2 linked regions of the Schizosaccharomyces pombe genome follow. The protein of the gene in region 1 interacts with the protein of each later gene in a biochemical or structural test. Each region holds a gene or a part of one and is shown on either strand. Other genes may lie near its edges. The genes, in order: mto2 and mto1.

Region 1 (4,353 bases):
AATGTGAACATATTCGATGTGATCAAATACTTGAATGTCCAGGTTATGTTTAGAATCTCTATAATGACGGCCATCAGTGCGAAATGGATGCAAAACTTCCTTCGCCACGTTTATAACAACATCAAAAGATTGAATAATGGGCATAGTAGGTTTGGCATATAAGTAAATATTTGGGGGATAGATACAAACAGGGCCATTGGGGTACGGCTGATTAGAATTGGGTTTAGATGCTTTCGGGAAAGATGGAGGGACAGGACACGGAGTAAACAATTGTGAATGACTAGCTTCCTCTTCGTTTTCCAACATATTTTTGTGGGAAACCAGGGGAAGTTGGGAGGTGTAAATTTTTAAGGGAGGTAGTTTTTGAGACATTCTCAAAGGAAGTTTTGATCGAAGCGGTTGTAAGGAAGACTCTTTTCGTTCTATATTTGTTGAGGACTTCAATGCACGTCCTTTCGTTTCAATTTGCTCTTCTGCATTTTCTTTCGCTGATTCAGAATTCATTTTGTGAGTTACCTTCAAACATTCATGGCACCAATAACCATTTCAACTTAGCTTCCTCTATAATATTTAACTTGCAAGAAGATAACTGGAGAATACAAATTTTCAGTGTTCTAATAATTGATGATAGACTGAAAAGATGTATGGAAGTATTGTGAGCTCCTACCAAGCTACAGCATTTGATGCTTTTCTACAGGTGACAGAGGTAACGCATTTTAACAAGTTGGTAAACTTGAATATAGAAAGATACTAAAAGTAAATACAGTAACGAGTTAAATTATCTGATTCATTTTATAAATCAGGTGCGAAATAAAGCTAATTAAACACAATGTACCATTTCGTCTTGCGAAGAAGACATCCACTTCCCAAATCTAAATTATCGTATATGGTTAAATAATGAAAAGATCTGCACTGAATTATCAATTTTAAAAAAATAGCATTGATGAGAAGATGAACAAAACCTCAAATTTTAAGACGTTCTCATACTATAAAGTTTGAGCAAGCAATGCAGCAAATAGAGATGCAGCCAGATCCAATAACATTAAAATAGACGTCCTAGTAGGATTAGCAACTTCTTAAAGAAATGAGCGATATAAAAAAAATAAAAACTTGTACGAGAGGGACGACAAATTAAATGATAGCACTCCTCAATCAATGTTTGTATGAACTTACATGTATGAGAAGAACCTGATTTACTTGATAAACACAAAGAAAAATTGATTCAAAATTAAACTTGTAATAGGCCGAACTAGGGGGAAGGAGTGTCTTGAAGAGAAGGAAAAGACTGTGATGCTGGAGACGCCCTCTGGGGGATAATAGGATGAGCAACTCGCAAAGACGTTGGTGATGGATGCAAGCTCGATTTGTTTGTAGAATTCGAGACATGACGGGTTGATGGATCGCTACGGTACCGGAAATGAGATGCAGCACTATACATTTGAGAAGGAGGAGTAGAATGTGTATGAATTTTTGAATGAAATCGGGAATCATCAGAAAAGAGAGTTGTTCTAACATTATGATGAGAAAGTTCATTTGATTGAAGATCAACTGATGGAAAGGGGTCATTTAAATGCAGAGAAGGCCTACCATAACTATCAGAGGCCATACGTTGTGGTGAAGAATCAACAGAACTGGTATAATTCAATGGTGGTGTATGACGGACAAGATCTAAAGAGTTTGAGCTTTCCTGTTGACTCAAAATAGATGCATCGATCGCTTCTTGCACCAAGCCAAGACACAATTCGGCAAGGCTTCGGCATAACGCATCCACCACACTCGATGGAGAGGTGTTTACCAAGGTGATTGCATGGTTTACAGCTTGCTCTACGGGCTTTAAAATGATGGGCGAAGGATGATAAGTGCGAAGCCGCATAAGAGCCGTTTGCATCGTGCTTAGCGGCGCCGGTGAGTGAGGTGAATGAGTAGAGGGTAAAAGAGAAGGGTAACTGTTAGGAGAACGATATGGACTAAGATTGTTATGATAGCCTAAGTAGGAAGAGGGTCGCTCACTGAGTTGAAGCTCTACTTGATTTAAGCGTTCTCGGAGATTTTCAAGCTCCTGAAGCACAAGGTTATTATCTGCAGTCGATACTTTTTCCAAAGACTTTTCAGAAACAAATTTCGCTGCTTTATGCTCCTGTATAGCATTATTAGACTTCATTGAATTCACGTTTGCATCCGCCAAACTCGGCCAAGACGGCGAGTAAAGAGGATTTTCATCTTTTGTAAAAGAGACCCCATTGTCTAAATAATTATTATCGCTATACATGGAATCTTCTAAAGGTTCTGTCATTAAAGATGCGGATCTCATACCAGCGCGCCATGGTGAACCTCTTGGAGTAGATTCGCGCGAATTTGAGGATAATTGATTAGCAGAGGCTTCATAATTAAGAAAAGGATCCTCTGCCACTTCCCTATCAGACTGGTAATTATGTTCAGACATGCGAAACCACCAGCAAGACGCTGGAGGATTAGAATAAACAGTTGCAAGACCAAGCTCGAATTTGCAAGAGATTCTTGCACTCTTGAAAGATAAAGAGTTGAAAGCACGAATTAACGAATAGAGTATGCACTCTGAAAACCTAACTTAACATACTGTCTTATACTATTTAAAAGTAATATTGCAAAACACAGCAACAAGACAGTTCGCTATTAGTTATCATAACGTATTTTAACGGGATCCACGAAGTTTTCCTGAATAAGCTTTTCCCACAGTTCGTTAGGATAACTTGCTAGTTTTTATTAACCGAAGCTTAATTCTAAGCGGCAACTTCGACTGTGCGGGCAAACAGTACGCTTCGTTACATGTCACTATGCTTTTTTAACTATTCCTAAAAAATCTTTAAATGCCTTTAACACACAATAATCGTTATTGTTTTTAGTGAGTGTATGGTTGAGATAGTTTGAAATAGGAACTACGTATTCTAAAATGCTACACTATTTAAGACAAATAGCAAAACATCTTTTTGTTGAATGAATGAATATATTTGGAAGAGTAATTGAGAAAATAAAGCATAATCCGAAAAATTAAAAAAGCACACCTAGTATATGACAACACTAATTTTCCAGTTGAGAACAATACAAAAGTCAAGATATCAATAACACCAGTGTGAAGCTACAAAATTACAATTTTTTTAATTCAAGCAAAACCAATTCGTCGAATTATCCTCTCAATTTAGACAATTACATCTTTAGTTACTGAATATACCTCAAGAACCAAATAGATGTGTTTTTTAAACAACATTAATAATTATGTACTACTGAAATTATCGTTAAAAACTATATAACGCAATAATAGACAATGCAGTAAAAAAGAGCGCTATGTAATAACAATTCCTCATTCCGCTTCGAGGGGCTTTCTAAATGGTTAAACTCCACTCAATTACCCTTGCTTAACTCCACGTTCTATCTCCACAAAATTCGGTAAAGTCAAATTAAGGATGATGCGACGACTCTCGGAATCCTTTGTTTATATCACGGTCCGACATCTTGCACTCTCCATACATGCTACATTAGTTATAAAAAAACAATGTCAATGCTTTCTACTTTACGTACTGCAGGTTCTTTACGGACGTTTTCAAGAAGCGCCTGTTACTCTTTTGTAAGTTGTGAATTGGCTCCTAAGCGATAAATCGCTGGTTTAAGCAGCCTTACTCGTCTTTTCATGATTATTTGATCGATTATATTAACAGAGTTATTTTTAGCAGAGATTTTCTTCAACGAAGGCTGCCGCTGGGACATATGAAGGAGTAAAGAATGCCAACGGGAACTACACAGTAACGATGATTGCTGGCGATGGCATTGGTCCAGAAATTGCTCAGTCTGTAGAACGTATATTTAAGGCTGCAAAGGTTTGTCGAGTCATCCGTCATTTAGTCATTAACGACTTGTATTGTAGGTCCCTATCGAATGGGAACGTGTAAAAGTATATCCTATTTTGAAAAATGGTATGTCAAGTATAAGAGAAGATGGTTGGATTTGTATGCAGTTTGGCCTTTCTTTTATACGTTTTTGTCAGCAATGCTTGTTCCTGCTTGTCAAGTCCTTCCATGTCTCCTCGAGATTATCGCGCACGAAAATCACGTTTACTAATTCGTTTAGGTACTACTACTATTCCTGATGATGCTAAGGAATCTGTTAGGAAAAATAAAGTGGCTTTGAAAGGTCCATTGGCAACCCCAATTGGGAAGGGTCATGTTTCTATGAACCTTACTTTGCGTCGTACTTTCGGCTTGTTTGCCAATGTTCGTCCCTGTGTATCTATTACGGGATACAAAACACCTTATGATAACGTTAATACCGTTTTGATTCGTGAGAACACTGAGGGTGAATACTCAGGCATCGAGCATGAAG
Region 2 (6,086 bases), on another chromosome or scaffold:
GCATAACATGATGCAGTAGCACTAAATGAATTTAGCATAGGGTCGGCATAATCGCATTCAGATAGCTGCTGTCGGACATCATATTTTCAGAGTCAGAACTGTAATGATTGTATATTGGATCGTTATATACCCGCATCATTTATATAAGGTGAATATAGATATATCCTTCATTGAATTTCTATAAGTAAACTCAAATGAACTCCGTTTATGAGTTCATTCGCGAGTTAATTTAAGTGCATTCATAGTAATGTATTACATTATTACAAATATCTTAATACATATTTATAATCATTCATATTGCAATACGCGGGTCATAAAGGTCGCAACTGGGGTATAGTTATTCTGTTATACAGGTTATATTTTTACCTATCACTAATATAGCGTATAACTGATCCTCGTTCTTCATTTCAATTGTGCTTCCATTTGCATTATTCAGATAGTATAGAACTTATTATAATTTCATTAGGAACAATCGTAATATCGTATCATCTATGGTATAATTAGAATATGTAGCATATAGTGATATTCAGCGTTGTGTATCGCAGCGTATGTAATATTGCTGACACCTTAACCGATTTAGCAGAGTACGTAACTGACGAGTTTGAAGCAGTTTTTATGTATTACCATTTTTACTTAATAAAAATTATGTAGAGCGAGTGATGATGCCAAGTTTCTCTTTTATTTTGTAATAATCTATATTAGTAATATTTACATACCTGTCAACTTTTTTTTTCGCAAATTTTTTTAAACAATTTCATGGAATTAATGTTTGAAGAAAACATATCAGATCAATGATCAGCTTGAATAAAAAAAAAAATTGAAAAGAAAAGAAAGTTTTCAACTAGTTGGTTCATTCTAGTAAGTGATGATTGTAATTGATTTAAAAAAAAAAAAAATCCTTCGCTTAATAGAAAGAATGCTTTTCTTTGTTGTATTAAAAAAAATACTGAGTAGTATTAACTTAATTTACTTAGATAAATTAATTTACATATACTTATTTATTTATTATTATTTTTTTTCAGCTGCTCTACATATCTCAAGTTGATGAGTTGTAGAGGACTTTATTTTCGCATTCACTCAATTCAAGTTTCGAACACACTATGCAAATTAAAAATGTTCTCTTAATGAAAAGTATATTTGTTCGTATATTCATAGTTCAATTTACCGTTGCGATTGAAATCATCGAAATGTAGCATCATGTAACACGGTGAAAATAGAGACTGAAACAAATAATTTCAGGCTACATACCAACTATACGTAGGAAAGCAAATTTACGCTTGTTCGTGAAAACCTATGTACTCAAGCATAATCGTAGCGGACTTTAGTGTTTTTAACGTTTATTCCATCAATAATTAATATACTTAGGATTCACAGTGTGAAATGAGGTTAACATACCTTAACTTGAGGAGAGTTAATCTAATGAAAATCATAGTTACGTTTTACATATCATCAATGTATGTACTATTGTTTTGTGTATGTGCCATAGGCATGCCAAATAACATGGCTATTTATAATGTAAACGAGTGTGTGCAAATGTATAATTAATTTCATTAACTTCTTTTGAAAATATCTGCTTCTAACACAAACATTAAACCTTCTAAAATTGTAAAGTCCGCAATTACAAGTCTACTACTTTGTTGATCGTTAGTCTAACATGCGTCAAGTAGAGACAGCCATTGAGAACTACTGCCACTACATATATGCCATAGCGTATCAATAGGCATATCTTCGATCCCATACTTTCTTTTAACAATTAACAATTTAAGAAAGAATTAATTTCTTATTCAAAAATCGCTCCTTTGAAATTGTTACAAGAGTCAATGCCTACTGCTTTGGATTTGCTTATGTCGAAGTTCGTTTTCTAATCAATTATGGAAGAAAATTCCAGTGAGTTAGATAGTAATAACTTTAATGTTCTAGTGGATAATTTAGCTGGTCTTTCGCTGACGGACGAGGAAGTTCGTCGCATTTTATCACCCAGAAAGGAAGGATCTCGGCAATTACCCTCTTCTACATCAAAAGACGAAGATTCGGAAGAAGCTTCTCATAAGTATGATTTTGAAATTGATAGAGATTCTTTAAAATCTGATTCTGGATCACCTCGTCTCCATCAAAATGCTACTGCTCCAACGAGCTCTACTCCGCTTCAATCTCCCGATGAATCAGTCAATAAATTGAATAGCGAGGACGAGGAGGGAAATAGTTCTGTTGCACCTTTTTTTTTGGATACTACGAATTTTGATCGTCTCAATGACAACATTACTACTGATGATGAACAGCTTTCTCCCGTACTTACGGCTAATCAAGGGTTTCAGAGCCAAGAGCAGTATGAAGAAGATAGTTACAATAATTACGATTATACTTCGGACCCTTCAAGTCCGAACTATATCTCTTCTTCTCTAGATCAGTTACCTCATTTGGATGATGAAGATGATTTGCAATTAACCCCAATAAAAGAAGAACGAAATTATTTACATTCTCAAGATGCCCCCACTACCAATGCTTTAAGCAAAAAGATCTCCGATATATTGATACCGGCGTCTGCTATGAAAGACCTAAAAGACAGGAAAAATGCACTTGCCAAAGAGTTTGAGGAATCTCAGCCCGGCTCCTCCTTAACTTTAAAGGAACAAGCAAACGTGATTGATAATTTGAGAAAGGAAGTGTTTGGGTTGAAACTGAAATGCTACTTTCTATACGATCAATTAAATAAATTCCACGATCAGGAGGTTCAAGATATTATGAAGCAAAACATCGATTTGAAGACCCTTACTATGGAGCTTCAACGAGCCGTTGCAGGCTATGAGAAAAAAATATCTGGATTAGAAAGCCGGATTAAGCCTGATCAGTCTTTTAACCTTTCCACCCCCAGCCCGGCCCCTTCAAACCTAATTACTCTTCAATCGAGGTATTCGCAGGCTCTTTCAGAGCTTGAAACTACCAAAAGAGCGTTTGCGGCTTTGAGAAAAGAAAAATCAAAGAAGACGAATTATTCTGTTGGGGCATACAATGAAGATCGTAATGTACTGTCAAATATGCTTGATAACGAACGGCGGGAAAAGGAAGCTCTATTGCAAGAGTTGGAATCCCTTCGCGTACAGTTATCCAAAAAAGTTCCTATGCCTGCAAAAAATACTGATGAGCGTGTTATTGAAACACTTCAGCGTAGTAATGAACTGTTGAGGATGGACATATCTATGCAAAATGAAGCATTACTACTTCGCAAGCAGGAAAATGATCGCCTGGTTAAACAAGTGGAGGAGCTTACCGTTGCTTTGAATTCAGGGAAGATGAATGCGATTGTAGAGGCAGAATCAAGCAAGAATGAATTGTGGGATTCTATGATGGTATCTAGAATGAAAACCCAAGAGCAATCAATTGAACTTACTCGTTTATATAAACAGTTGCAAGATATTGAAGAGGATTATGAAAATAAATTGATGAGAATGGAGCAACAATGGCGGGAAGATGTTGACCAACTCCAGGAATATGTCGAAGAGATTACCCAAGAACTCCAGGATACCAAAGAGGTGCTGTCAAAGTCTTCAAAAGAGTCTGATGATTACGAAGAAGTAGTAGGTAAACTTAGGACTGAAGCAGAGCGTGAAATTGAGAAATTCGAGAAAACAATACGGGAAAATGAGGAGAGTATCTCTTTATTCAAAGAAGAGGTTGAAAAGCTTACTGATGAAATTACCCAATTGTCAGAACGTTATAACGATAAATGCCATGAATTTGACGAATTACAAAAGCGGCTGCAAACTTTGGAAGAAGAAAATAATAAAGCGAAGGAAGATTCAACTTCAAAGACATCAAATCTTCTTGAACAGTTGAAAATGACAGAAGCAGAAGTTGATTCTTTAAGGAAGGAAAATGAAGAAAACAAGCAAGTAATTGCTTTGAAAGAAAGCGAGCTGGTGAAAAGTAACGATAACAAACTTTTACTCAATGAGCAAATTGAGTCGTTAAATGATCAACTTAGTCAGTTAAAAACTGAAATGGAAAGCGTTACAACGAGTAAAGAATCGTTAGCCGATTATCTTAGCAACTTGAAGGAAAGGCACAATGACGAATTAGATTCATTAAATAAAAAACTTCGTGAATTTGAAGGTATATTGTCATCAAACTCTTCTTTAAAAAGTGAGATTGAGGAAAGAAATAATCAATACGTTACCCTTCGCGAAAATTTCGATTCTTTGCAGAATGCTATTATGGAAACATTTGATAAACAGGTCACCCACTGCTCGGTTAACCATTTGGTACAACAGATAAGAAAACTAAAAGATGAGAATAAAAAGGATCAGTCTGGTACTGATAAGTTGATGAAAAAAATCTACCATTGTGAGCAAAGTTTAAAAGAAAAAACAAACTCTTTGGAGACGTTAGTGTCTGAAAAGAAGGAGTTAAAGAACTTACTGGATGCGGAAAGACGATCCAAAAAAGCAATCCAATTAGAGTTGGAAAATTTGTCTTCACAAGCTTTCAGAAGAAACCTCTCTGGATCTTCCAGTCCTTCTGAAAGGAGTCAATCTAGAGAACTTAAACTTTTACAAGCATCTGAAAAACGCCTTAAAGAGCAAGTGGAAGAAAGAAATTCCCTCATAAAAAACATTGTCACTCGTTTTACCCAACTGAATACGGGAAGTAAGCCTGTAAATACCAACGTTGAAGCATTGACGACAATTTCAAGCATGAATCAGGCAGTAAATATGAATTTTAGGGAGTTGGACAAATCCATTCAAGAATTCAAACGGAAGTGTCAATCAATGGAGCGGGAATTTAAGACCGAACTCAGGAAGCTTGATGGTGTACTTGAGGCTAGAAGTAAGCGTTTATCACAGTTGGAAGAACGAGTGAAACTTTTAGGCGCTGGGTCAACTTCATCTATTCCAAATTCGCCAAGGGCTTCAAAACGCGTTAGTTTGGATTCCGAGGATAAAAAGCTTGTTCCCGCTTCTCCAGATAAGTCAGCAGTTCAAAGAGGTATCACAGCTTTGAAACGAGATGCTGAAGGAATGAGCCATATATGGCAGTTGAGACTAAGAGAGATGGAGTTTCAACTCAAGGCTGAGCAAGAAGGTCGTAAAAGAGACAAGTTGGGTGCCAGAGAAAGGCTTCAAGATTTGATTCGACAAAACAGGAGTCTTTCAAGGCAAATAAAAACGGATAAAGAAAGCAATTCTAGGTCTCCTTCTATATCATCACAAGAACATAAATAATAATCTGGATAGTTTGCGGTTGAAGTATATAGCTTTTCTTAATCACCAGTACATATCTACTTAGTTGGAGAATTTAATTGACAAAATAAGCTAATTCCAAGATTTATATTTATTTTTTATTTTTTTTTGTTCTCGATTAACCATTTTGGTGTTTGTATCTCCCTGATTATAAAGGAAATAATCACACATATTCGTAAAAAAAATTTATTTTAATCGCGCAAAAGAATTCGAAATATAATTTTTTATTTAACCTTTTTTAAGTAAATTTTACTGCGCATGTATCATCTTTGTAAAAATTCCCAGAACCCGGTGTTTGTTTACATTTGCTGGGAGAATCGAGTTTTATTCAGGCACAACGTGTACTCAAAATAAATTTCAAAATTGAGCTCACATAAACTTGAATAGGAGCAAAAAAAGGAAAGAATCCATTGCATGGAAAAAGCAATTCACTTGGGACAATTTTATAGAACGATTCCACAAACATAGAATGGACCTACTGGGCCTTAAAGAATTAGACAATAACAAACTAGTATCAAAGGCAAAAGAAAATGGAGTCGAATTTTCTGATTTATTTTTACTATCAAGCGGCTATTTACGAGACAGGGAAAATGCGTCAGCAAGTGTGTCTTCGAAAAATGAACGCATGGTGCTCAACGAAGAAAGACAAAATTGCTGGACGAAAAGAAATGATCCTAAAGGTTTAACTTACTACCAATTACTAAAGCCCAGTGAAGTTGAAATACTTAGTCGACCCGAGACAAGAAGAAAGCGGATGGCCTGTCAAGTTTTCTTCCTCAATTACTATATTAGCACAATTGAGTACCATAAACTAAGGAAGGAAAGATTGGAAGAATTTACAGCGTGTAC

The links.
Region 2: the proteins of mto2 (region 1) and mto1 form a complex in vitro, tested with the Schizosaccharomyces pombe proteins (one study listed by BioGRID).

The regions. Positions count from the first base shown.
Region 1 is NC_003423.3:492,832-497,184, reverse strand, and holds mto2 (gamma tubulin complex linker Mto2), read right to left. Parts: upstream 2,507-4,353; 5' UTR 2,444-2,506; coding exon 1,250-2,443; 3' UTR 1,174-1,249; exon of another isoform or gene 1,057-1,173; 3' UTR 762-1,056; downstream 1-761. Other genes in the region: dual-specificity MAP kinase phosphatase Pmp1, read right to left, coding at 1-372; idh2 (isocitrate dehydrogenase (NAD+) subunit 2), read left to right, coding at 3,530-3,601, 3,705-3,851, 3,899-3,947, 4,102-4,353.
Region 2 is NC_003421.2:1,679,057-1,685,142, reverse strand, and holds mto1 (gamma tubulin complex linker Mto1), read left to right. Parts: upstream 1-1,871; coding exon 1,872-5,219; 3' UTR 5,220-5,382; downstream 5,383-6,086. Other genes in the region: mug27 (protein kinase Mug27/Slk1), read left to right, coding at 5,707-6,086. UniProt on the Schizosaccharomyces pombe protein: Spindle pole body (SPB) component that acts as the gamma-tubulin complex-binding protein of the SPB outer plaque.